Danio rerio: one gene and its partners. The protein of the gene in region 1 interacts with the protein of each later gene in a pairwise test. Links are inferred from orthologs where the notes say so. Each region holds a gene or a part of one and is shown on either strand. Other genes may lie near its edges.

Region 1 (7,219 bases):
ACTACGAGACCTGACAGAGGTTGATGCTAAAGATGCCAATAAGGTGAGAGGTTACATGAGAATCATTATAAGTGTAGCGGAGGCCAGCTAGCAAAGAGCTGTGCAGGTAAACCTCACTCCTCTGACCTCAAAACGTGCTCTAGCAACAGACGCTAGAGGTCATGGTCTTTAGTCTCCTTGTTAGACAGGGTTCATACTGTCATGGAAAACCTGGTAAAGTCATGGAATTTTGACAGTTGGAAAAGTCATGGACAACACATATCTGTATACTTTAATATAGGTTCGTTGTCTTTACTTCTTTTCTGTCCTTGGTTGATCAAATACTCTTACATTATTAGTGCAGTTTCAGCTTAAATAAATTTTACATAGACATAAATGTAAATTGGGTGTCATGGCGATGCCGTGGGTAGCACTATCGCCTCGGCTGGGTCAGTTGGCATCTCTGTGTGGAGTTTGCATGTTCTCCCTGTGTTCATGTGGGTTTCCTCGGGGTGCTCCGGTTTCCCCCACAAGTCCAAAGACATGCGCTATAGGTGAATTGGGTTAGCTAAATTGTCTGTAGTGTATGTGTGTGAATAAGTGTGTATGGATGTTTCCCAGTGATGAGTTGCAGCTGGAAGGGCATCTACTGCGTAAAACATATGCTGGATAATTTGGCAGTTCATTCCGCTGTGGCAACCCCAGATTAATAAAGGGACTAAGCCAAAAAGAAAATGAATGAATTAATAAATATAAATTGAAACTAATTTGATTGTTGCGTGTTTTAGTATATGCCGTAATAATTTTGGTATTATACAAATGTATTGTTTTTTACCATGCATATGTAGACATTGCATGAAACATTAGGTCATAAGAATTTACTTGAAAGTCTTGGGAAAAATCATGGAAAAGTCCTGGAATTTTTGTAGTAAAAATGTGTATGAAACCTTGTTAGAGCCACCGACTCCCATGCAAAAAAATCGCTGGTTCGATCCCAGCTCAGAACGGGTTGGATGGTAGGACTGGTGGGTTATATATCTGTTCAAGCATGACATAAATGCAAATAATCACATTTCTGTTACATATTGATATTATTATCTTACCGGTTGTTTGATGATGCTGGATACAGGTATATTTTAGGATTATTAATGTATTGTCATTAGTGGCTTTTGTATCATATTTTGAGATTTATTTACATTTGTAAAATAAAAAATAATAATTTTATTTATTTTTAAATGTCACTTATTTTATTTGTTGATTTGTCATTTTAGTGCTTAAACTTATTTCAGGTAGTTGCCAAAGCAACATTTTAAATTAGGATTTTCAACCTAATTTGTATTAAATGATTACATCTTTATTTATATTAATGGAAAAATCAGTTTCAGTCAACAGTTATCACACTTCTTTAGTATATATTTTTTTAGACTAACTAAACGTTTTTTTTTTATTTTTTATCATCGGTTATTTTAATACATCAGCACATACAAATACAGTCTCAGCTATACAGTAGGAAAAAAATTAAATTATATAGACAAGTAAACAGGATGATACAGTCAGGCTATGAGTATAAACCATAGAAGAGAAAATCTGGTGAAAATAATAATGAAAGGCCAAAAAGGTGTCCATAGCTGCCAAAAGTCATTGGACTTTTGATGTATGTCATAGATGAGTTTCTCAAGTGGTAGCATACACACTTGAGACAACCACATTTTATAGGAGGGTACCTGAGGAGATGACCACAATAAAAGTCTACTTTTCTTTGCCAAATAGACCAAGATTAAAACAAATGCTTGGTGTGGGAGTCCAACCTATTCTCTACTTCACCATATAACAAATACAATTCCAGAGAAAAACTCAATTGTATCTTAAAGAGTCCTTGTAGAAAATGATGTGCTTTCTTACAAAAAGAGATGATTTCTTCACAATGCCAGAAACCGTGAAGGAATGTTTCTTTGGATTTTTTACAGTTAAAACAAATCCAGACTAACTAAACATTTATGTACTCTTTAAATCTTAATTATTTAAGAACACTTAATTATACGGTGCATTATAATGTAATGTTATTCTATATAATGTAATATCATTCCTAAGTTCACTTGTAGAACTTTACAGCAATTACTTTTTTCTTGATTCTTATTCTTATTCTTACATTTACTTTTTTTTTAATCTAAAACTTATAATCAATGGGCATCAGCCTGTATGTAATTGATATCTTATTTTTTTTCCTTCATGCAGGAAAACCCAGAGTTTGACCTGCATTTTGAGAAGGTTTATCGTTGGGTGGCAAGCAGTACAGCAGAGAAGAATTCCTTCATCTCGTGTATTTGGAAGCTGAACCAGCGTTACCTTCGCAAGAAAGTGGAGTTTGTAAACGTCAGCCCTCAGCTGCTAGAAGGTGTGACTCGCTGCTACTCCTGGTGGTGTGGTGGAGTAATAGCATGTTAAACAGCCACTGTGTTTTAAGATGCAGTTACCTTAAAGCCATATGACAAATCTAAAGCTGTTACATAGAATTATTACATTTGCAGTGGTAGGGACTCTTTCTGTTTTCCTGCAGCTAGTTCTCTCTTTTCTCTCTTTGGGTCTCTTTTGGTTCTGCAATGTGTCTTTTTGAGTGCCCTTAATGCTTTAACCAGATCTGTGCTGTTCTCTCTAAATCTCTCACTGGCCAGAGCTTCCTAAAGCTGAAGGTTTGTACGCTGTTTTTTTCCACCTTTCATCCTCTTCCATTTCCTTCTCCATTTTTTCCATCTTCTCTTATTGTTTCCCCTTCATTAATGCTCTTATTTTCCGCCAATTAATTAGTTTGCTCAACTACTGATATCTTCATATATTTAGACAGTGCTCACCCTTTAGATTTTTTATGTGTGCTTGTTTTTTTATTACTTACATTTTATTTGTTCAGTAGATTAGTTTATGTACTCACATGCATATCTAAGCTATTGTTCAAATGTTTGGGGTTGGTTAGAGTTTTAAGAAATGTTTTAAATACCTGATATGTTCACTAAAGTTCTTTTTATTTATTGGAAAAACAGCTAAATTGTTTAAAGTGATAGTTTTAAATGGAATAGAAAATTTCCTCATCATTTACGTTCCTTTTATGAGTTTTTTTCTCCTGTGGAAGACCACTATGGAAGTCAATGTGTTCCAGAAGCCAGCATTTTTCTAAATATCTTTTTTATTTGTTTAACAGAAGACAGAAACTCAAATAGATTTTTAAACAAGTTAAGGGTGAATAGATTATACGATTTTCAGACACAATTTTCAGTTTTGGTGAACTATCACTTTAAAGCAGGTGTGTCCAAACTCGGTCACAGAGGGCCAGTGTCCTGCATAGTTTAGCTCCAATTTCCTTCAACACGCCTCCCTGGAAGTTTCTAGTATACCTAAAAAGATGGGGTTGAAACTAAAATCTTCAGGACACCGGCCCTTCAGGACCAAGTTTAGACACTCCTGCTTTAAAGTATTATCAATGTAACATATTATATACACAGTTTTACATATTTACATGTTTTTACAATGTAAATAACAGTTTTCACATACAAAGCAAATCTTTAGCTTAATTTTTTCAGTCTTTAGTGTCACCTCATTCTTCATCTGTTTCTTTAGGCTTCTTTAATAAAAAAGGTCTGCATTTGTTAATATTAATAAATGCATCAATAAAATAGCTACATTGACATAAAATATCTTTTGTGAATTTATGTTTTCACTGTCACTTTTGTATTTTTTTTCTTCTGAAGTATTTTATTTATTTATTTATTTTTTTTACAAAATTTACACTGACCCCAAACGTTTTAACAGTGGTGCATAATGTATAATATAAACACTTTTTTTTAATGATCCCTGTCTCTTCTTCTTCCCAGAGTCGGTTCCGAGTGGCGAGAGTCAGAGTGTTGCTGGTGGAGATGAAGACGCTCTGGATGACTATCAGGAGCTGAATGCCCGTGAGGAGCAGGACATTGAGGGCATGATGGAGGTCTGTGAATACGCCATTTCCAACGCTGAGGCCTTCGCAGAGAAACTGTCTCGTGAGCTTCAGGTCCTAGATGGGGTGAGTATGTTCAGATATTTCCTTGGCTGTAACAGAAATTGCCCCCTAGACCCTTAAATGATACACTTAATGCACATTCAAGGGAGCAGCCATTTGTAGAGGTGTCCGAAGCCAACATAGACATTCTGAAGTGCACTCAGAAAATCCCACAATTCACCTCAATATCGAGGGTACAGCTAGAGAATACCCATAATCAGTGATGTAAAGTAGCTAATTACTAATACTCTAATTACTGTAATTGAGTTGTCGGTCACGTTATACAGCAAAACAACAGCATATTCAATTCTACTATGGCAATTATCACCTCAAGTAGAGATTATATGCTTTATTTTATTTATTTTGGTTATCTCTATATGTGACATTTATTGCCATACAAAACTTGCAGAAGTCTAAACTGTGACTCAGTCACTTAAACCACATCTGTCACTCAGACTATGTAATAATGTTCTAATGAAGTTAAATACATATTAGTTAGATTATAACCTTCCATATTGTTGGCAGTGCAGTGGCTGATATTTAAATGAATGGCTAGTATTTAGATGTTTCTGTTGTGTCGCATTGTGTTTGATGCAATCGCTTGTTGCCGAAATCTTGAGTGTTATTAGAACATTGTTTTACCAAGCTGTTTAAAATCTAGTTTGATCTAGTCTGATGGATTTATGTCGTGTTAGCACCTGAAAAGTATTGATTGCACCAGTCATCAGGATTTTTATCTATATTGAGCCAAGTGTAATAATTATCTACAGGTCAAGGTGAGTGAGGCTTAAAGCTTGTCTGATTAGCAAGTAAATTATACAGTAGTTGCACGTAGTTTGATTATTGGTTGACAGTTGTATGATTTTAGAGATGGTGACTAATAATATCTCTTCCTCTTTGATCAGGCTAACATCCAGTCCATCATGGCGTCTGAAAAGCAGGTGAACACCCTGATGCAGCTGCTGGACCAGGCTCTGGCGGAGGTGGACACCATCGAGGGGAAGCTGCTCAGTTATGAGGAGATGCTGCAGAGCGTGAAGGAGCAGATGGACCAGATCTCACAGAGCAACCGTCTCATCCAAATCAGCAACACTAACAATGGCAAACTGTTGGATGAGATACAGTTTCTAGTGGTATGTTAGGGCACGGTATACAAGTGCACATCATAATTTTGGCGATGCAATCCTCAACAAGCATATACTGGTAGGGTGGAAAATTAGTGATCCATTGTGACCCATCAGTAGGCCCACACAGAATCCGCAGATTTTTTGCAGATTTCCACAGATTTTTAGCCCATCAATAATTCTGTTTATTTATTTGAGTAAATGTGTGTAAATATTTATTTATTCAGTTTTTTAAATATTTCTGTAATGTTATTGACTAATATGAAAATGTTTATCTGATCTATGTGCAATAAGTCTTTTAGTAGAGATATTAAATGAGAGATTTGCTTTGTTTGCCAAAAAGTGGATCTAATTGGATTTGCATTTTAAACATTAAATAAAAGTTAAAAAGATATAATTTTTATTTCACATATTAAGGTTTTAGTTATGATACTGCCAAAATAATTCTGCTGAAATCTGCAGATTTTTACCAAAATTCTCAGCAGAAATAGCTAATACAACGTCCGCAGATTCCGTCTGGCCCTATCAGAAACTGTTGCTTAAAGAACATGAATATTTGGTTGGCTATGAACAGTTTTATTTAATTTATTTATTTTTTGTTACTGTTTATTGTCCCCTTTTAGGGCAATTTGTTCTGGAGCACAATAGATTTACAAAATTGACAACACACACAAGACAGACAACATACAATATCAGTAGTACTAAAAACCTCGTCTTATTAGGATTTAGCAAGTCAATAGCACGAAAACAAATTAAAATTAAAATCTGTTAGACTTTGCCAAAGGGACCTTATATTGTAATCTGATGTGCTTTTCTTTAACATGTGGATTTCATACAAATGGATTTCATGCAATTTCACTCTCAGTAAGATTCAGATTATCTGTTAAAGTGTGTTGAAAACTTAATTAAACTGACCTCAAATCTAGATTTTTAAGTTTAGATTTTAAGGAAAAAAAAATTAATAATTCAGTAATAAAACCTTTTCTTTTACTGTTTTCTCATTCTTTACTTTTCCCTTATTGACCCTAGTTTGGGAAACTCTGCTTTTCCTGTATTTAAAGTGATAATTTTTTTACCAGAAAAATAAAGCTTGTGTTGTTTAATGGTCAAAGCATATTAAGCCACATATAAACTATGTAATGTTTTTTCTTCATTTAAAAAGTATTTTTTTTTTATTTTTATTTATTTATTTTATTTTATTTTAGATTACATTTCATCAATGTACAAACCCCTGGACCCCTATAGTCAATAGTTAATGGCTTAATTGTGGAATCTTGTATAAACATTTATTTGTCCCTAGACTTCTTTTGTATAATTAGATTTTCTTTACTTTGCCTTTGTAATCCAAAAAAAATCTGATTAAAAAATTTTCAATAAAAAAATGACAGTTTAATTACAACTTTGATGTTGTCTATTAGTTTCCCAGTACTGGGTTGCAGCTGGAAGGGCATCTGCTGCATAAAACATATGGTGGAATAGTTGGCGGTTCATTCCACTGAGGCAACCTCTGATAAATAGCTGAAGGAAAATGAATGAATGAATGAATATTGTCTATTATTTCAATTATTCTTTACCTTTTTTTATCTTCTTTTCATCATGTTAGAACTACATGGATCTTTCAAAAGGGCACATTAAGGCTTTGCAAGAAGGAGATTTGTCCTCTCCTAAGGGTATCGAGGCCTGTATCAACGCTTCTGAGGCTCTTTCACAGTGCATGAATGTTGCTCTCAAACCAGGTACTGCTTTCAAACTTCACCTCAAACTGTGTGAAAGCAGCACTTGCAGATCAGCATTGATGATTTTGTGTAATTCCAGGACACGATAAGCTGATGGCGATCAAGCAACAGCAGCATCTGTTTTCAGAGCTCAGAGATACTTTTGCCCGTCGTCTCACCAACCACCTCAACAATGTGTTTGTGCACCAGGTAACGTTATTACATGTGGTACAGGTAAAAAAATTTTTAATAAAATGTGTGCCATTGCTAAAAAACCAGTAGGCTCCCTTTCCTTTTCCAATAAGTCTTTTATTCAGTGTGTTTGAATCTTTCTCCTGTGTTCCTGTTTTGGCCACCAGTCTCTATATCACTTT
Region 2 (7,885 bases), on another chromosome or scaffold:
TGTACTGTACCTGTCAGTGGACACAGGCCAACAGTGTGCAGCCTAAGTGTGTGCGTGTGTGTGAATGTGTGCGTGTGTGTGTGTGTGTGTGTGTGTGTCTGCTAGTGTGTATATGCTGTTCTTTGGCCTTAAGCCTCTGCATGAACTGCTTTGCTCCGCCCCCTCAGGGTAAATGGACCAATAAGGAGCGAGTGCTGGTGTTTTCCTCTCGAGGGATCAGCTTCAGGACGAGACACCTGATGCAGGACCTGAAGACCCTGATGCCACACAGCAGAGCCGGTAACACACAGATACACACTCTCTCTCTCACACACACACACACACACACACACACACACACATGTGCGCGCGCTGATGCTGAGTCTCTGTTCTGTTTTCAGACACAAAGATGGACAGAAAAGACAAGCTCTTCGTGGTGAACGAGGTACAGCAGCTCGCTGCGCCCGGCTGACTCTGGCCTGTGCAGCAGACTCAGATTCTGCTGTTCTCACACACCGTCTGCATCTGCAGACACTTTAAGCCAAAGTGTTGAATGTGAATCTCTAAAACTGCAGAATTTTGATCAAAACTGTTGTAATTTTTATCTTATCATCATCATTTATGTATTTACCTTGTGTATTATTTATTTCTGTTAATCACTTTTAATTATTAGAACTTTAATAAATATAGTGAAGTGTGTTTATAAACTCTGGAAACCTTGATCTGTTTTATTGTGCCATGACAGCCATAGAAGCTGAAATGACAATAAAATTAAAGCTCTCTCTCACCTGTGTGTGCGTGTGTGCGTGTGCGTGTGTGTGTGTGCGTGTGTGTGTGTGTGTGTGTGTGTGTGTGTGTTTCAGGTCTGTGAAATCAAGAACTGCAACAAGTGCATCTTCTTTGAGGCCAAGAAAAAGCAGGACCTTTACATGTGGTGAGCAGCACAGCAGTGTGTGTGTGTGTGTGTGTGTGTGTGTGGTGTGTGTTCATGTTCACAGTATCTGCTCTTCTCTTCCAGGATCTCTAATGTTCCTCACGGACCGTCGGTGAAGTTTCTCGTTCAAAACGGTACAAGTCCATTAAAATTCCACCAATGGAAACACACACACACGCGCACACACACACACACACACACACACACACACGCGCACACACACACACACACACACACACACACACACACACACACACACAGGGTCTGGGCTATACTGTGCATCAGTGTGGGGGTTTGCTGAATATAATTATGCACAATTAATCAGTGATTACCGCAGTGCGTGTGTGTGTGTGGGTGCGTTCGTGTGTGTGTTTGCATGTGTGTTTGCGTGTGTGTGTGTGTGTGTGTGTTTGCGTGTGCATAAGTGTTGAAGTGTTTGAAGAGCAGCAGCTTTATTTCTCTCTCAGTTCACACTCTGGCGGAGCTGAAGATGACCGGGAACTGCCTGAAGGGCTCCAGACCACTGCTGTCCTTCGACCCGGTGCGTGTGTGCGTGCGTGCGTGTGTGTGATGATGATGATGATGATGTGCGTGTGTGATGATTGTGTGTTCAGTATAATAATGATGATTGTGTGTGTGTGATGTTGTGTGTAGTGTAATAATGATGTGTGTGTGTGTGATGATGATGTGCGTGTGTGATGATGGTGTGTGTAGTGTACGAATGATGATTGTGTGTGTGTGTGTATGATGATGATGATGAGCGTGTGTGATGATGGTATGTAGTGTAATAATGATGATTGTGTGTGTGTGTGTGTGTGTGTGTGTGTGTGTGTGTGTGTGTGTGTGTGTGTTTCAGGCGTTTGACTCGGAGCCGCAGTACGCACTGCTGAAGGAGCTCTTCACTCAGGTGCTCTTCAGTGTTTGTCCTCTGTTCTTCATCTCTTCCTCTCTGATCTTCCTCTCTGATCTTCATCTCTCTCTGATCTTCATCTTCCTCTCTGATCTTCCTCTCTGATCTTCCTCTCTGATCTTCATCTTCCTCTCTGATCTTCCTCTGATCTTCATCTTCCTCGTCTGACTCTGGCATGTAGGGTTGCAGATGCTGGATGTGTGGTTGTAGTCTGAGGAAGACTCTGTCATGTGTAATGGCGCTGCTGTGCTGCATCAGCTGGTGACAGTATAGAGCTCTTCACTGCGGCTCGCTGCCTGATGCACAGCAGACCCAGCAGCATTTCCCTGTGGACTCAACAGAAGACAAGAGTTTCTGGCATTTAAACATGAGGAATAATGTGTTCACTGAAAATAAACGACAGATCAATCAGTCAGTCAGTGAGCACAATAACAGCTGTCTGTATTATTGATGTGGTTGTGAGTATTGGCCTGTAGAGAGAGTGTGTGCAGTCGCAGGCTGCATTAGGAGTGTGTTTGCTGTTCATCTCGTGTTTCTCTCATGAGCAGTAATGTGTGTGTTCCATATGAAGGATGAAGCTGATTGGTCCATTCTAGTCACGTGATGCACAGTGCGCTCGCACCGTTCTTTTAACCTGGTGTGCCTGGAAAGCGTGAGCACATCGTGCCGCTCACGAAAAAGCAAACTAGCTTGTAGAAAAGACGGCATGTGAGAACAGCCCTCAGTGATCAGCCCCCGCCATAGCTACAGCCGCCTTTAATCCAGTGTGTGTGTGTGTGTGTGTGTGTATTCGCCCCAGTGTACATGCTCAGGACTTAAACTAGCGCACAGACTGGTTTAAACTGGCTTATAGCTGGTCTAGACTGGTTTATAGTTGGTCTAGGCTGGTTTATAGCTGGTTTAGACTGGTTCAAACTGGTTTGTACTGGTCTGCAATGTCCACTAACACTGCTCGTGTCCTGCAGGTCTTCTCCACCCCGCTGCACCACCCTAAGAGTCAGCCGTTCGTGGATCATGTCATCAGCTTCAGCATTGCAGACCACAGGATCTGGTTCCGGAACTATCAGGTGAGGTTCTGCGGTTCTGAGAGGATCTGCGGTTCTGCGGCGCTCCACTGACCGCTGTTCTCCTGTTGCAGATCGTGGAGGAGGACGCCTCGCTGGTGGAGATCGGCCCGCGCTTCGTCCTCAACCCCATACGCATCTTCCAGGGCAGCTTCGGCGGACCCACGCTCTACGAGAACCCACACTTCCAGTCACCCAACGCGGTCAGCAGCGCACACACACACACACACACGCACGCACGCACGCACGCACGCACGCAGCACTGTCTGCTACTGATCTGTTATTGATCTGAGTGTTAATATTGTTTTGGTGTGTGTGTGTGTGTGTGTGTGTGTGTGTGTGTGTGTGTGTGTGTGTGTGTGTGTGTGTGTGCGCGTGTGTGCAGCACCGGCGCATGCTCCGACTGGCTGCAGCCGCGCGGCAGAAGGAGCGTCAGATGGTGAAGCAGGTGCGGATGGAGAAGCGGATGGAGGAGTGTGTGCTGCTGCAGCCTGACCTGACGGAGGCCGTGTTCAACACCCCGGCGGAGCCCAAAGCCCCACGGCCGGAGGCCCCGGGGCCCCAGAAGAAGAAGAAGAAACGGCTGACGGAGCTGAAGAAGAAGACCCTGATGAAGAAGAAGGGCCTGAGTGTGTGAATCTGCACGAGTGTGTGTGTGTGTTCATGATCATCATGGTGTGTTAATAAAGATGTTTTATTAATGTTGACGGTTGTGTCTCTGTCTTCATGTCGTCTGCTGACTGCAGCACATCCTGAGCCGCAACTGAATAACGGCCAGGTTTAATGTCCCAACATGGCGGACTCTGAGTGCAAAAGCACAGTTGAACATTTGAGCGGCGCTGTTCTGCTGATGAGCTCCAGTTTCACTTTAATCTATATCAATGTTTTCGCGCGCTACGCCGGAGGAGTGTGTGACGCGACGCTACCGGTAGGAACCTCTTGTTCACAGCTTTTGTTTCCGGGCGGACCGTTTCGCTCAGGACCGGAAGCATGGCGTTCAACTTCGGCGGCGCGTCGGGCAGCGCGAGTGAGTAAAATTAATCTAAAACTATTAATAATGAACATTAAACATGATGACGGCGCTGCAGGAGCGCTGATACTGCTGTAAACCTGATACCACTGTGCTGTAAACCACTGGCGCTCATCTCATCTGCTCTGTGTGTGTGTGTGTGTGTGTTTTCATTACTGTGCGGCTGCTGTTGTGCGTTCATAACTGTGTGTGTGTGTGTGTGTGATGGTGATGATGATGAAGGCGCTCCGGGCTTCTCATTTAAGTCATCTTCATCCACTCCGTTTGGTTTCGGCGCCTCAACCACAACCACCGCCAGCAGCGCCACGGGCTTCGGTAAACACACACACACACACACACACACTCTCCCTCTCTCCCGGGCCTGTGAGGTAAAGCTAGTTTAATATGTTCAATTTGTGATCAGTGACGTTTTTTGATACTCTTCACTCCAGTATACACTACAGTACACACTACACACTCCAGTATACACTACACACTCCAGTATACACTACAGTACACACTACACACTCAAGTATACACTACACACTCCAGTATACACTACAGTACACACTACACACTCCAGTATACACTACACACTCCAGTATACACTACAGTACACACTACACACTCAAGTATACACTACACACTCCAGTATACACTACAGTACACACTACACACTCAAGTATACACTACAGTACACACTACACACTCCAGTATACACTACACACTCCAGTATACACTACAGTACACACTACACACTCCAGTATACACTACACACTCCAGTATACACTACAGTACACACTACACACTCCAGTATACACTACACACTCCAGTATACACTACAGTACACACTACACACTCCAGTACACACTACACACTCCAGTAACACTCCAGTACCGCTGCTGTGCTCTGCAGTATTGGCTGGTAGCAGGAGTTCACTGTAGAGTCTGCTAGTGAGCTCTGTCAGGGGTTGTGTTGGGGTGAAGGTCTGCATGTGTCACCCCGCCGGTCCCACACCACCCAACCTGCACTGAGCTGGGATCAAACCGGCGACCTTTCGCATGTTAAGGCTGATTTATACTTCTGCGGCAAACGGTGGCGTATGCTACGCCGCTGACCAATAGCCATTCGCCGTGGCCATCGGCGTCGCTGACGTGCACCTCTCAAAAAATGTAACTACACGTCACAACAACGCGTAGCGCAAGCTCTGTGATTGGTCGGCTTGGTATCGCTGACGAGTCTGGGCGGGACCGAGAGCCGCGCGAATGTTTACAAGTGAAGGAGCTCCGGATGGAGAGTTTTGTTCTGTGTTTCCCTCATGGTTACAGTTGCTGCACGTCCGCCGGTTCCTGCCTCAAAATGAGCGAGTTTGAGCCACTTGTACATCCAGGAAGTGTTCAGGATAGCAAAACAGCAGCGAAGAAACTCGACACAGAGGAACATTTACACCTCACTGCCCACTAGTGCTTCAGAAGTGTTAATGCAGACCAACAGAGCTAGCAACAGCAGTATAAGCACAGCTACACGCGTTACATGCGCCGTGGGTCACGCCGCTCACTTGCTGCAGAAGTATAAACCAGGCCTTACAAGGAGGCGAAACACCATGGCCTCTAGTGTCTGTCGCTAGAGCACCTCTAGAGGTCGGAGGATCGAGGTTTACCTGCACAGCACTCACTAGCTGACCTCCATTACACATAACAGCAGCGCTCCCCCAGTTCCCTCCTCAGCACACACACACACACACACACACACACACACACACACACACTCTGCTCTCGTCATCTGCACTCTGCATCTGAGTGGTGTGTGTGTGTGTGTGTGTGTGTGTGTGGTCAGGGTTCTGCTGGTTGTTGGTTATATTGACCTGTCACAGTTCAGTCAGAGTGAGTTGTATGCTGTAATGATGACGGGGTCACTGTGGTTAGAGAGATGTGCTGCAGTTCAGCTGCCGTCAGCAGACCACACCGTCAACCCTGCTGCTCTTCCTCCCGCCGTTCTCCTGTATGTGACGGTTCTGTCCCGATATCATCCTGTAAAGCTGTTTCTCTGGAGGCTGGCAACAAACATCAGAGCCGATCCTCCCTATACACAACCCAGACTGCTGATCCACCAGGGGGCGCCGCTTGCTCTTCACTGCGGGTCTGTTCTGTGGTTTCGTTATGTTCAGGCATGAAAACAGTTATAATTAACTATAATAACAGCAGGATTCCCTTCCTCTCCATCACAGACAGCATCGCCCCTATACAGTCCTCTAATGCAGTATAGCACACAGCCTTCATCCTCATCATCAGTAATGTTTCACTGCGCGTGCACACACACACACACGCACGCGCTGCTAACATGCTGTTGCCATGGTTACAGGTCTGACCGGAACCGGCTTTGGAGCGCCGACCACCACATCAGCTTCCACAGGCTTCGGCTTCGGCACTGGTGGCACGGGTGAGTGTGTGTGTGTGTGCTGTCTCTAACACACTGACTGACTCTCTTCTGTGTGTGTGTGTGTTTGTGAGCGAGCACGTGTGTGCGCATACGTGCATATGCTGTCACTAACCCACTCTCTCTCGTGTGTGTGCGCGTGCGTGCGAGCATGTGTTTGCTTGCGTTCACGTGTGTGCGTGTGTGCTGTATCTAACAAACTCTCTCCTGTGTGTGTGTGTGTGTGTGTGTGTGTGTGTGCGTGTGTGCATGCGCTGTCTTTAACACACTCTCCTGTGTGTGTGTGCGCTGTCTCTAACACACTGACTCTCTCTCTCCTGTGTGTGTGTGTGTGTGTGTGTGTGTGTGTGCGCGCTGTCTCTAACACACTGACTCTCTCCTGTTTGTGTGTGTGTGTTTCTCCTGGGGCCGCTGTGGTCAGGATTCGGGCCCCTGGTCTGCAGTGCGGGCCCTGGCCCCGCCCCCTCTGCCGCTGCTGTTAGTTTCGGCGGGTTCGGTTTGGGCCCTGCGGCCCCGGTGTTCAGTTTCGGCAGCGGCCTCGGGGGAGCAGGTAGATGAGCTCCGAGAGGTCAAAGGTCACGCATGATCAGATCACGCCACGCCTCCATCCCTGTGTGTGTGTGAGAGAGAGAGAGAGAGTGACAGACAGACAGACGTAGTGTGTGTGTGTGTGTTGGTGCCACTCTGATCATGTCATCAACAGTTAGTGCTCATCATCTCCGGTGTGTGTGTGTGTTTTCATCTTGTGTGTTTTTTTCGTCTCTGTTGTGTGCGTGAGTGTGTGTGTGAGTGTGTTTTTCATCTCCGGTGTGTGTGTGTGTGTGTGTGTGTTTTCATCTTGTGTGTTTTTTTCGTCTCTGTTGTGTGCGTGTGCGTGAGTGTGTGTGTGAGTGTGTTTTTCATCTCCGGTGTGTGTGTGTGTGTGTGTGTGTGTGTGTTTTCATCTTGTGTGTTTTTTTCGTCTCTGTTGTGTGCGTGTGCGTGTGTGTGAGTGTGTGTTTTTCATCTGTGGTGTGTGTTTGTCTCCAGCAGGAGCGTTTGGCGGGTTCGGCTCCACCACCACCTCCGCCGGCACTGGGTCAAGCTTCAGTTTCTCCACACCGGCTAACACAGGTACAGGCGCACACACACACACACACATACAGAGAGAGAGAGAGGAGAGATGCTGCGTCCCGTGCACACACACTGCAGAGTTACTACACACACCTCACACACGTCTCTAACACACACAGTGTTAGGGTGTGGTGTGTGTATCTGAAATGGGACACTGTGTGTGTATGTGTGCGCATGCGTGTGTGTGTATGCTTGTGTGTGCGCATGCATGCATATGTGTGTGTGTGTGTGTGTGTGTGTGTATGCTTGTGTGTGCGCATGCGTGTGTGTGTGTGTGTTTGTGTGTGTGCTTGTCTCTGAGCGCGTCTCCTCTCCGCCTGCAGGTTCGAGTCTCTTCAACACCCAGAGTAAGGGCTTCGGCTTCTCCAGCGCTCCGGCTCCGGCTTCAGGCTTCACTGGGGCTCTGGGTGGAGGAGCTCTGGGCTTTGGAGGCTTCGGTG
Region 3 (8,016 bases), on another chromosome or scaffold:
AGATGCAGGAGAAGAACGCAGCCCTTGACTTGAGAGTGGCAGAAATGGAGATAACGGTGGCAGAGAGGAGAAATTTTTACGAGGCTGCTGGTAACTGACCTAATGTCTTGCCCATTAAAGACAGAATTCATCCAAGTATCAATATACTTTTAGCAGAAACAGAGTCTGTGGTAGTTTCATTGTTCAGGAACGTGAGAATATTTTGATTACACTATTATTCAAAGGTTTGGGGTCAATACATTTCTTTAAAGCAAATTAATTTCAATTAAATTCAATAGGGTAATAAAAAAATGTAAAATTCAAACATTTTTAAAAAAAAATTGAAATTCATGGGCAAAAAACAAAACAAAAAGGGGGTTTCTAGCATCAAAACAAAAAAGCAATGTCTGCGCAATAGCCTAGTGGTTAGCATGCCGACATGTGGTGCAGTAGCACGTCAGAGTGACCAGAGTTCGAATCCTGGCTCGAGGACATTTCCCTACGCCTCTCTCTCTCTCTCTCTCTCTCTCTCTCTAACTTTGCTTCTTGTCTCTATACTATCTTACTATTTTAAAAAAGGCCAAAAATAAATCTAAAAAATTCAATACAGCTTTGTTTTTACATTAAAATGTTGTTTACATTTTAACATATATTTTACCATAATTTACAAAAGCCACCCATTAAATTGGAATTTTAACAAGTTTACATAAAAGGCATATGTAAATTTGATATTTAAAAACTCATATTGGAGCCCCAAAAAATAATTAACTGCAATTATTAATATTTATATTTTAACACTGTCTTTCAAAGCATATTCTGTTTTATTTGTTAAATAACTATTGTACATTTACAATTAAAGTCAGAATTATTAGCCCCTGTTTTTTTTTTTTTTTATCTTTGTCAGACTCAGGATGTTAGTAAATAATATTTGACTAGATATTTTTCAAGACACTTCTATACAGCTTAAAGTCATAGGCCTAACTAGGTTAATTAGGTTAACTAGGCAGGTTAGGGTAATTAAAAAATTAAAAACTGATAAAAAATATTATCAGACATACTGTGAAAATGTCCTTGCTCTGTTAAACATCATTTAGGAAATATTTTGAAAAGAAAAAAAAAATCAAAGGGGGCTAATAATTCTGACTTTAACAGTCATTTTATAAATTGTGCAGAACAAAGTATCTTAATCTGTAAAAACAATACGCAGAATTCTGAGATAAATTATCATAATTGACACTTAAACAGCAGAGATTGATTAAACTGCTCAAAAATGCTTTTTTTGATGAATAATTTGACTACTGGAGTTATTCAGCTTGGCCTTCATATAAACAAATTGTGTATCTATATATTGATCATCATTTACTGATTAATGTTTATAAGTTAAATAAGAACTCTTTAAAAAATACCCTATGAACAGAAGTATATCGAATTAAAGAAAAATATATTTTTAATAACAAACGATTTGTACATTCTGCCTATGGTTGATGAATTAGGACTCACCATAGCTGTTTATCCATATTTATTAATGGTGCTAAAAATGCATAGGAGCCTGAACAGCTCACAAAATTTGATAACATTTTCTTTTTCCAGCAATGGAAGATAACCAGGAAACAGAGTCAGACAAGAACTACCAGGACATCCTCCTGAGAAAGAAGCTGCTGGCCATCGCCAGAGCTCAGTCTGAAGAGCTGCTCCTGCTGAGAGCGGAGCTGGAGAAACTGCGCATGAAGAACTTCCCGTCTCTCTCGCAACTGCACTACAACTGACTCTACATACAAAACGCAACAACTTTACCTAAACAATAAACAACACACAAAGGTGCAATAAATTATTATACAGTTCAATCAATTGACAATCTTTCTTCGCAAACGTTTTAATGAACAAAGCTCGCTGCAATCTGTTTGAACTGTGAATAAAAATTGCTGAAATGTATTCACGTGTCTGTGAAGTCTTCCTCTGTCCTATCAAAGTGCAGTAGTTTATCATTAATCCCAAAGCTGTCAATAAGTTGTGAAAGACTGGCTTGTTTTCCACCTGTGGCCAGTTCTCTCTGTAGTTCATACAGCACAGACTGAGCACAGGATCTCCATTTGTCTGTGAGCCTCTGCAACTCATTCAAGTCATTCTGTGGAGAGAGAAAAACAGCTTCAAGAGCAGTATGCTTCGCTCACAAATAAATCATTTACTTACTTATGGTGATATTCATCAGAAGTACAAAATAAAAAGTATCGCTTTATATTAGACTCTGTCATTTAGTTTGTGGCATCTCAAAATACAATGTTTGCATGTAATCATTTTTCACCATTTGGATGAAACGTGAATATATTTTATATTATGGCTGCACGATACTGGAGAAAATATGCAATATGCGATGGTACTGTTGAGTGTTGCAATAACAATATTTCCTATGATATAACAAACTTTTTATTAGCAATTTTTTTGACAAAAATAATTTATTTACTCTACGATTATACTAAAATAGACAGGTATATGATTCTTTGAGCCAATTTTAAAAAAATGTGTCAAGGTTCAAACATTTAGACTTTAAAACACCTTGAATAACTGAAAACCACTGCTGGAGTTCTGATTCTCATTGGCTGCTGTCAATTTAATATCTTGTCTCCCAGCATTAATATTCACTTTCAGCTCTAGGTTCACCTACTGTAAAGGTGGGCATTAAGATAGTTAAGGCCTCTATGAAATACAAAAACATAAAAGTAATTTAATTTATTGCACTTCCCTGTGATATACATTTAGTCATTTGGCACACACTTTGGTCCAAAGTGACTTACAATTGAGGCAAATCATCAGTACGAGGCAGTACATACAGCACGGGCTAATTATACAAAGGAACAGTTAGTGCTTAGAGAATATAGCAAGAGAATATCAGCAAGAGATTTGGATATTGCATATACTATTACTGCAATAACAATGATTTTTCAATATATCTAAGCATATTGTTATGGTGTGCCTGCGATCATTAGTTTTTGAAAAGTGACTTATATTTCATTAATATTTATTTCAAGTTTCTACATTCTTCTCTCGTGTCCCTCGAGTTCTAAATTAAGGGATAAAATTTAAAAAACATATAGAATTTTTTAGTATAGAAATTAAAATAAAAACGTAATTTTAAAATTCCAAGTGGTCAATTTAGAAACTCCATTAATTTTCTAATTTTTTACAGAACTTACAAAAAGGCATATATACATATATCAACATATGAGATGACTTATATTATATTTTCATTATATTAGTTTTTTGTTGTTGTCTCCCAGCCATAATTTACGAATTTATATTTACCTTTTTCCTGTACATCTTGACCATCTTTAATCTCCTCAAGGTTTCTGTTCTCTCCTTCACCGCTTTTCTCAGCGCTTCGCATTGCTGACTGGGGAGCTCAGCTGTGTGGTTCGAGTCTCTCTGCAGCTTCATGTCATTCCTGTTGACATCAGTCTCTGTAACGTTAGAGTCTCTGTCGTCTTTGACACCGTGTTTCTCTTCTTCTCCCTGCTGTGAAGGCTGAGGCTCAGTGTCATCCTCTATTTTGAGTCGTTTTACCACACTGAGGGGAGACTTGAACGAGTGTCGAGATCTTTTTAGCTTCTCCCTCAGCGAGGCACTCATGGGCTGAAGAAAACAATGTCAACAATGATCAAAAGAAAGCTCAGACATGCAGCAGAATTATGTTTCGACGAAAAATAACATGTAAGAAAGAAAAAGTGATCTATCTTTTTCGCTAATGTTAGTTTATGTGAAAACAAATATCGTATAAAGTCAAAAAGACAATAAGCTTTACCTTTGCAGTACTGGACCTGTTTGAAGACTGCTCGGCGCTTGGCGTAGTTTCATCAGCTGCTGTTGGTTTTATCGGGGTTGTCTCCATGTTTTACAAGATACGAAAAGAAAAAAACGACTACATAACTTTATCATTTGTGATTTAGTACTCTCCAAAGCAGTTCTGTGCGAATATGATCTTCCATTTCTAAAGTTGTCAGTGAACACAGCTGTTTTGAAACTGGTGCCATTTGTTTCGTCGTCACTTCCGGGACCTTGTTGCGTCGTTGTTATTAACAAGACTCATGGGTAATGTAGTCTAAAAGAACTATTAGTGTATTTTGTTTGCTCTAAATTTAGTTATAATGAATTTAACTTATCTTAGTGGCCACATAAATAAAGGAAAGTTGCTGTCCTTTAATTTGTAGGGATTTCGTTATATGTATATTGAGTGTAGTCTTGTGAGACAACAGTTTCAATGCACAAACTAGCACAGTACAGCCATTTTATCTTTGTATAGCTTGCTGATTTAAGACATATTTTATACAGCGTGGTAGACAATTACATTATAAAACTGTAGGAAGAAACTGTAGCGGAGAGTGGGTAACAAAAGCATTGTTACATTTGATTTCCAGGCTATAACAGCACATTTAGCATGCAGCCCTTGATGGAGATGACAAATATCAGCTGATTTTGCGACCTTGTCCTGCAGTTTGGTCTAAATTTCAGTTTTGAAGTGGAAAAAGAAAATTAGTGTATGCTACTTTTTTCCTCATTACAAGTTGTGTTTCTCTTTTCATGTGTTACGGTAATGACCAATCTACAGGTTATTTAGTGCAATAACACATCCTTCAGTTTGCAATGTCTAAGTTTTTCAGTTTAAAAGTAAAGCAGGTTTAAATGGCAAGAGTTCCTGTGGCGACGAAAGTAACACTGTTATTTGTGTCCCACTGCTAATAGCCATGCCTTATTTTCACTTCCACGTTAGTGTTCAGTGTTTTGGCTCATATGCTTTATAAGATTGATGCATATTGCCAATAATAATTAAATAATCTTGAAAATTTGTATAAAATATTAACATTTTGCATTGTTGGATTGCTTTTGTAACATTTGATGGAACTGAAATTTAAAATGAAAATGCAGTTCAGTATTTTTTTGCCAAAAAAAAAAAAAAAAAGACAAGGATAGGCGTCACGGTGGCACAGTGGGTAGCATGATCGCCTCACAGCAAGAAGGTCGCTGATTAGAGCCTTGGCTGGGACATTTTTGTGTGGAGTTTGCATGTTCTCACCGTGTTGGTGTGGGTTTCCTCTGAGTGCTCCTGTTTCCCTCACAGTCTAAAGACATGTGGTACAGGTGAATGAATAAGCTAAATTGGCCGTTGTGTATGTGTGTGAATGCAAGAATGTATGGGTGTTTCCCAGTGTTGGGTTCCGGCTGGAAGGGCATTCGCTGTGTAAAAAAACATGTGCTGGAAATGTTGGTGGTTCATTCCACTGTGGCAACCCCTCAAGAATAATGGGACCAAGCCGAAAATGAAATGAAATGAATGAATGAATGAATGAATGAATGAACAAGATTACGTCAGTGAATCTAGCAAATATTGTTGTGCTACTTTTGACCCACCCGTGTGTTACTTTCAGTAACAATGTGCAACTTTTGTTTAAAGTTGGAGTTGTTCTTTGCTGAGAGAAAATAACAACTGAGCACACAACAGGTTTTTATGAAAAATGGTACTTTCGTGCCCGCTTTTCCCCACTAAAAAAAAAAAAATCTGTGCCTTAGCGTTTTATTTTAATTATCTTTAATTCACAAAATAATACAGAAAATTTATATTTTAACAGATCAGTTAGCCAGTATTGATTATTAAATTGACCATTACACAACAACAGCTACAAGAAAATTACTGGGATAAATTAGTCAAAATGAATGATGTTGAAATGAATCAAACTCTGAATCTACACTGATGAGCCCAGTTATGCAGTGTTTATATAACAGACATGCTCAGTAAGCACTGTCTGCACACAGAATAATTATGGATTTGGAGAAACATTGATAAACAATAACAGTTAAGTAACACATTCATAAAGGGAAAAAATCAGAGTCATATTGCATCTGTGGTTCAGAACATTCACGTGTTTTTATTTAAGCTCACGACTGTTCTGCTTCTTCTGCAAATCTTGTTATAACTCGCTTGCCAGTGATACCATAATTGTTTAATAGCTGTAGACTCATCATGTTCTCTTACATTTTCCCGGTGATTTGAATGAGGTCTAGTTCAGTGGTCAGGGAGAGAGAGAGATGCACATGAGGTGGAGTCAAAGCTCTTTTGTGAATCATATGCATTTTGTCAACAGGGTGTGGTCAATGGGAAAAATGAATCAAAAGAAAAAAATATTAATCTCAATAGAAACAACACCCTTTTCCCCTGGGAAGACTGAATGTCCTGAATTCCATTTGGAATACTTGTGTTGTTCAATGATCCAGTCGTTACCTGATGATTCACTGATAATGAGTCATTAACTTACATAAATATAGCATTCAATTTAAAAACCTGTAAAAATAATAAGAAGAACATCCTTGAATGGGCTATGTGCACAGTGTTTTTTAACCAACGGTAAACTTCCGGGGAAAGGTTAAAATGACTATGGTTCTTATGTTCTTATGGTTCTTTTTACAGTATTAACATCGTAATGTAATTAAATCACAATCACCAACAATCCAATTGCATTGGATATAAACATGATATAGATTCTAAAAATATTAATTCGTTCATTCATTCATTTTCTTTTCGGCTTAGTTCCTTTAATAAATTCTAAAAATATAAAAAATAAATAGATAAAAAAGGCAAATATAAATATGTATAAATTTTTTTATTTATTGTTTTTACAGCTTAATTTTATTGAATAATTATGGGATAATATCTTGGCAGAAAACTAATAGTGCTGTGCATTTACTTTTTTCTTCTCTTTTTTAACAGTTTAACTAAATGTAGGCCTACCGTATCCTTAATTAACCCCTCTTCACTTCAGTTTATAACTGCAGATACAAATGCTATTTTTTTTACTTATAAGCACATTCAATATGTGCTCAATATCTGTACTTTCATACTTTGTTGTTAATAGATTTTTCATGACTAAATTAAGTATTGCATTATTTACAAATCATTTGTATTTAAGAGTAGTTGGTGGCTTTTAGAATCATTCAAATTGAGTTAGTAAACGATGAATAAATCAGTCAAATCAATATTTATATCTTATTATTCAGGCATATACTAATAGTTATTTTGTCTGTTAATAAATGCTTTATTAACTTAACTTCATCCAATTTTGTAACTTAATCTGAAATGAAGACTATTTATGCTTCATAAATCTCAAATAAATTATACAATTAAAGGCCCAGTATCAAATGAACTAATCTTTAAAAACCAGCAACTTCTCTCAAATGACTGGTTTGTCAATGGTGCAGTTGCAGTATGTAAGTTTGACACCCAGTGGTTGAACTAGGTATAACATTCCTGAATCAAAACAAACACAAGCGCAGGTTGCCAAATAGAGGACTGGAGCGAGTCTTATGATCGAGCCTAAAGGCTAAATTTAAATCATGTTCTTTACAAAAGCAACAGCTTGCGATAGAAGGTATATTTACCATATTAAAAGGAGTTTTTGTTCTAACCAACACCTGAAATTGTTATATTAGGAACAGTCTCTATTTCTTGCAGCTGAACAACAGAAAACTGACAACGATCACCTCAGGTAGGCTACAGCTCATGTGCTTTATTCAGTGTTAAATGCTAACAATGTGAGTTTAAATGCCATTTAACATGACATTTATTACCATAAACTGAAAGCAGCAGCAGATAGTTCACCTCAGATTTTGAAAATAAAATAAACCGTTTGAAACTGAACTTTAGAACTGACTCAGAGCACATAACAGGGATTCAGCATCATTTAATAATGTTAAAGAGGTTTAATATGTATTAATTAGATTATAAACCTTAACATTTTGTGAGTGAGTTCATATTCTGTGCTTGAATGGCTGTATTTAAATTTCTGTTGTGTTTTGTCTGGTGCAGACAGCCAAATTGCTTATCACTGCATATCTCGTCACGTAGCATGTTAGAACACAGGGTGACAATATAACATGCTCACCTAATGTTTAAGCTCGTAATATTTATATAATTTGCTAATTAACAACCTCATTTGGAACTCTAAATCTGCCTCTCATTTCAGAGTCTACCACTGTCCACCAGAGGTTGCATTT

The links.
Region 2: the proteins of exoc1 (region 1) and nup54 interact in binary tests that used the Homo sapiens proteins (3 or more experiments, as listed by UniProt). The link is inferred for Danio rerio from reciprocal best matches to the Homo sapiens genes EXOC1 and NUP54.
Region 3: the proteins of exoc1 (region 1) and sfr1 interact in a two-hybrid assay, tested with the Homo sapiens proteins (2 studies listed by BioGRID and IntAct). The link is inferred for Danio rerio from reciprocal best matches to the Homo sapiens genes EXOC1 and SFR1.

The regions. Positions count from the first base shown.
Region 1 is NC_133195.1:28,554,526-28,561,744, reverse strand, and holds part of exoc1 (exocyst complex component 1), read left to right. Parts: coding exon 1-43; intron 44-2,214; coding exon 2,215-2,374; exon of another isoform or gene 2,375-2,399; intron 2,400-2,651; coding exon 2,652-2,669; intron 2,670-3,842; coding exon 3,843-4,030; intron 4,031-4,911; coding exon 4,912-5,139; intron 5,140-6,733; coding exon 6,734-6,866; intron 6,867-6,945; coding exon 6,946-7,055; intron 7,056-7,219.
Region 2 is NC_133196.1:123,051-130,935, reverse strand, and holds the start of nup54 (nucleoporin p54), read left to right. Parts: upstream 1-3,862; 5' UTR 3,863-3,877; coding exon 3,878-3,914; intron 3,915-4,139; coding exon 4,140-4,232; intron 4,233-6,257; coding exon 6,258-6,335; intron 6,336-6,753; coding exon of another isoform or gene 6,754-6,882; intron 6,883-7,361; coding exon 7,362-7,445; intron 7,446-7,768; coding exon 7,769-7,885. Other genes in the region: bxdc2 (ribosome biogenesis protein BRX1 homolog), read left to right, coding at 168-279, 381-424, 843-913, 998-1,047, 1,381-1,454, 1,770-1,820, 2,789-2,890, 2,962-3,090 and 1 more. UniProt on the Homo sapiens protein: Component of the nuclear pore complex, a complex required for the trafficking across the nuclear membrane.
Region 3 is NC_133188.1:27,957,344-27,965,359, forward strand, and holds sfr1 (swi5-dependent recombination DNA repair protein 1 homolog), read right to left. Parts: upstream 4,024-8,016; 5' UTR 3,863-4,023; coding exon 3,776-3,862; intron 3,607-3,775; coding exon 3,280-3,606; intron 2,105-3,279; coding exon 1,917-2,104; coding exon of another isoform or gene 1,913-1,916; exon of another isoform or gene 1,774-1,912; coding exon 1,770-1,773; 3' UTR 1,746-1,769; coding exon of another isoform or gene 1,570-1,745; 3' UTR 1,484-1,569; downstream 1-1,483. Other genes in the region: cfap43 (cilia- and flagella-associated protein 43), read left to right, coding at 1-90, 1,570-1,745. UniProt on the Homo sapiens protein: Component of the SWI5-SFR1 complex, a complex required for double-strand break repair via homologous recombination. Acts as a transcriptional modulator for ESR1.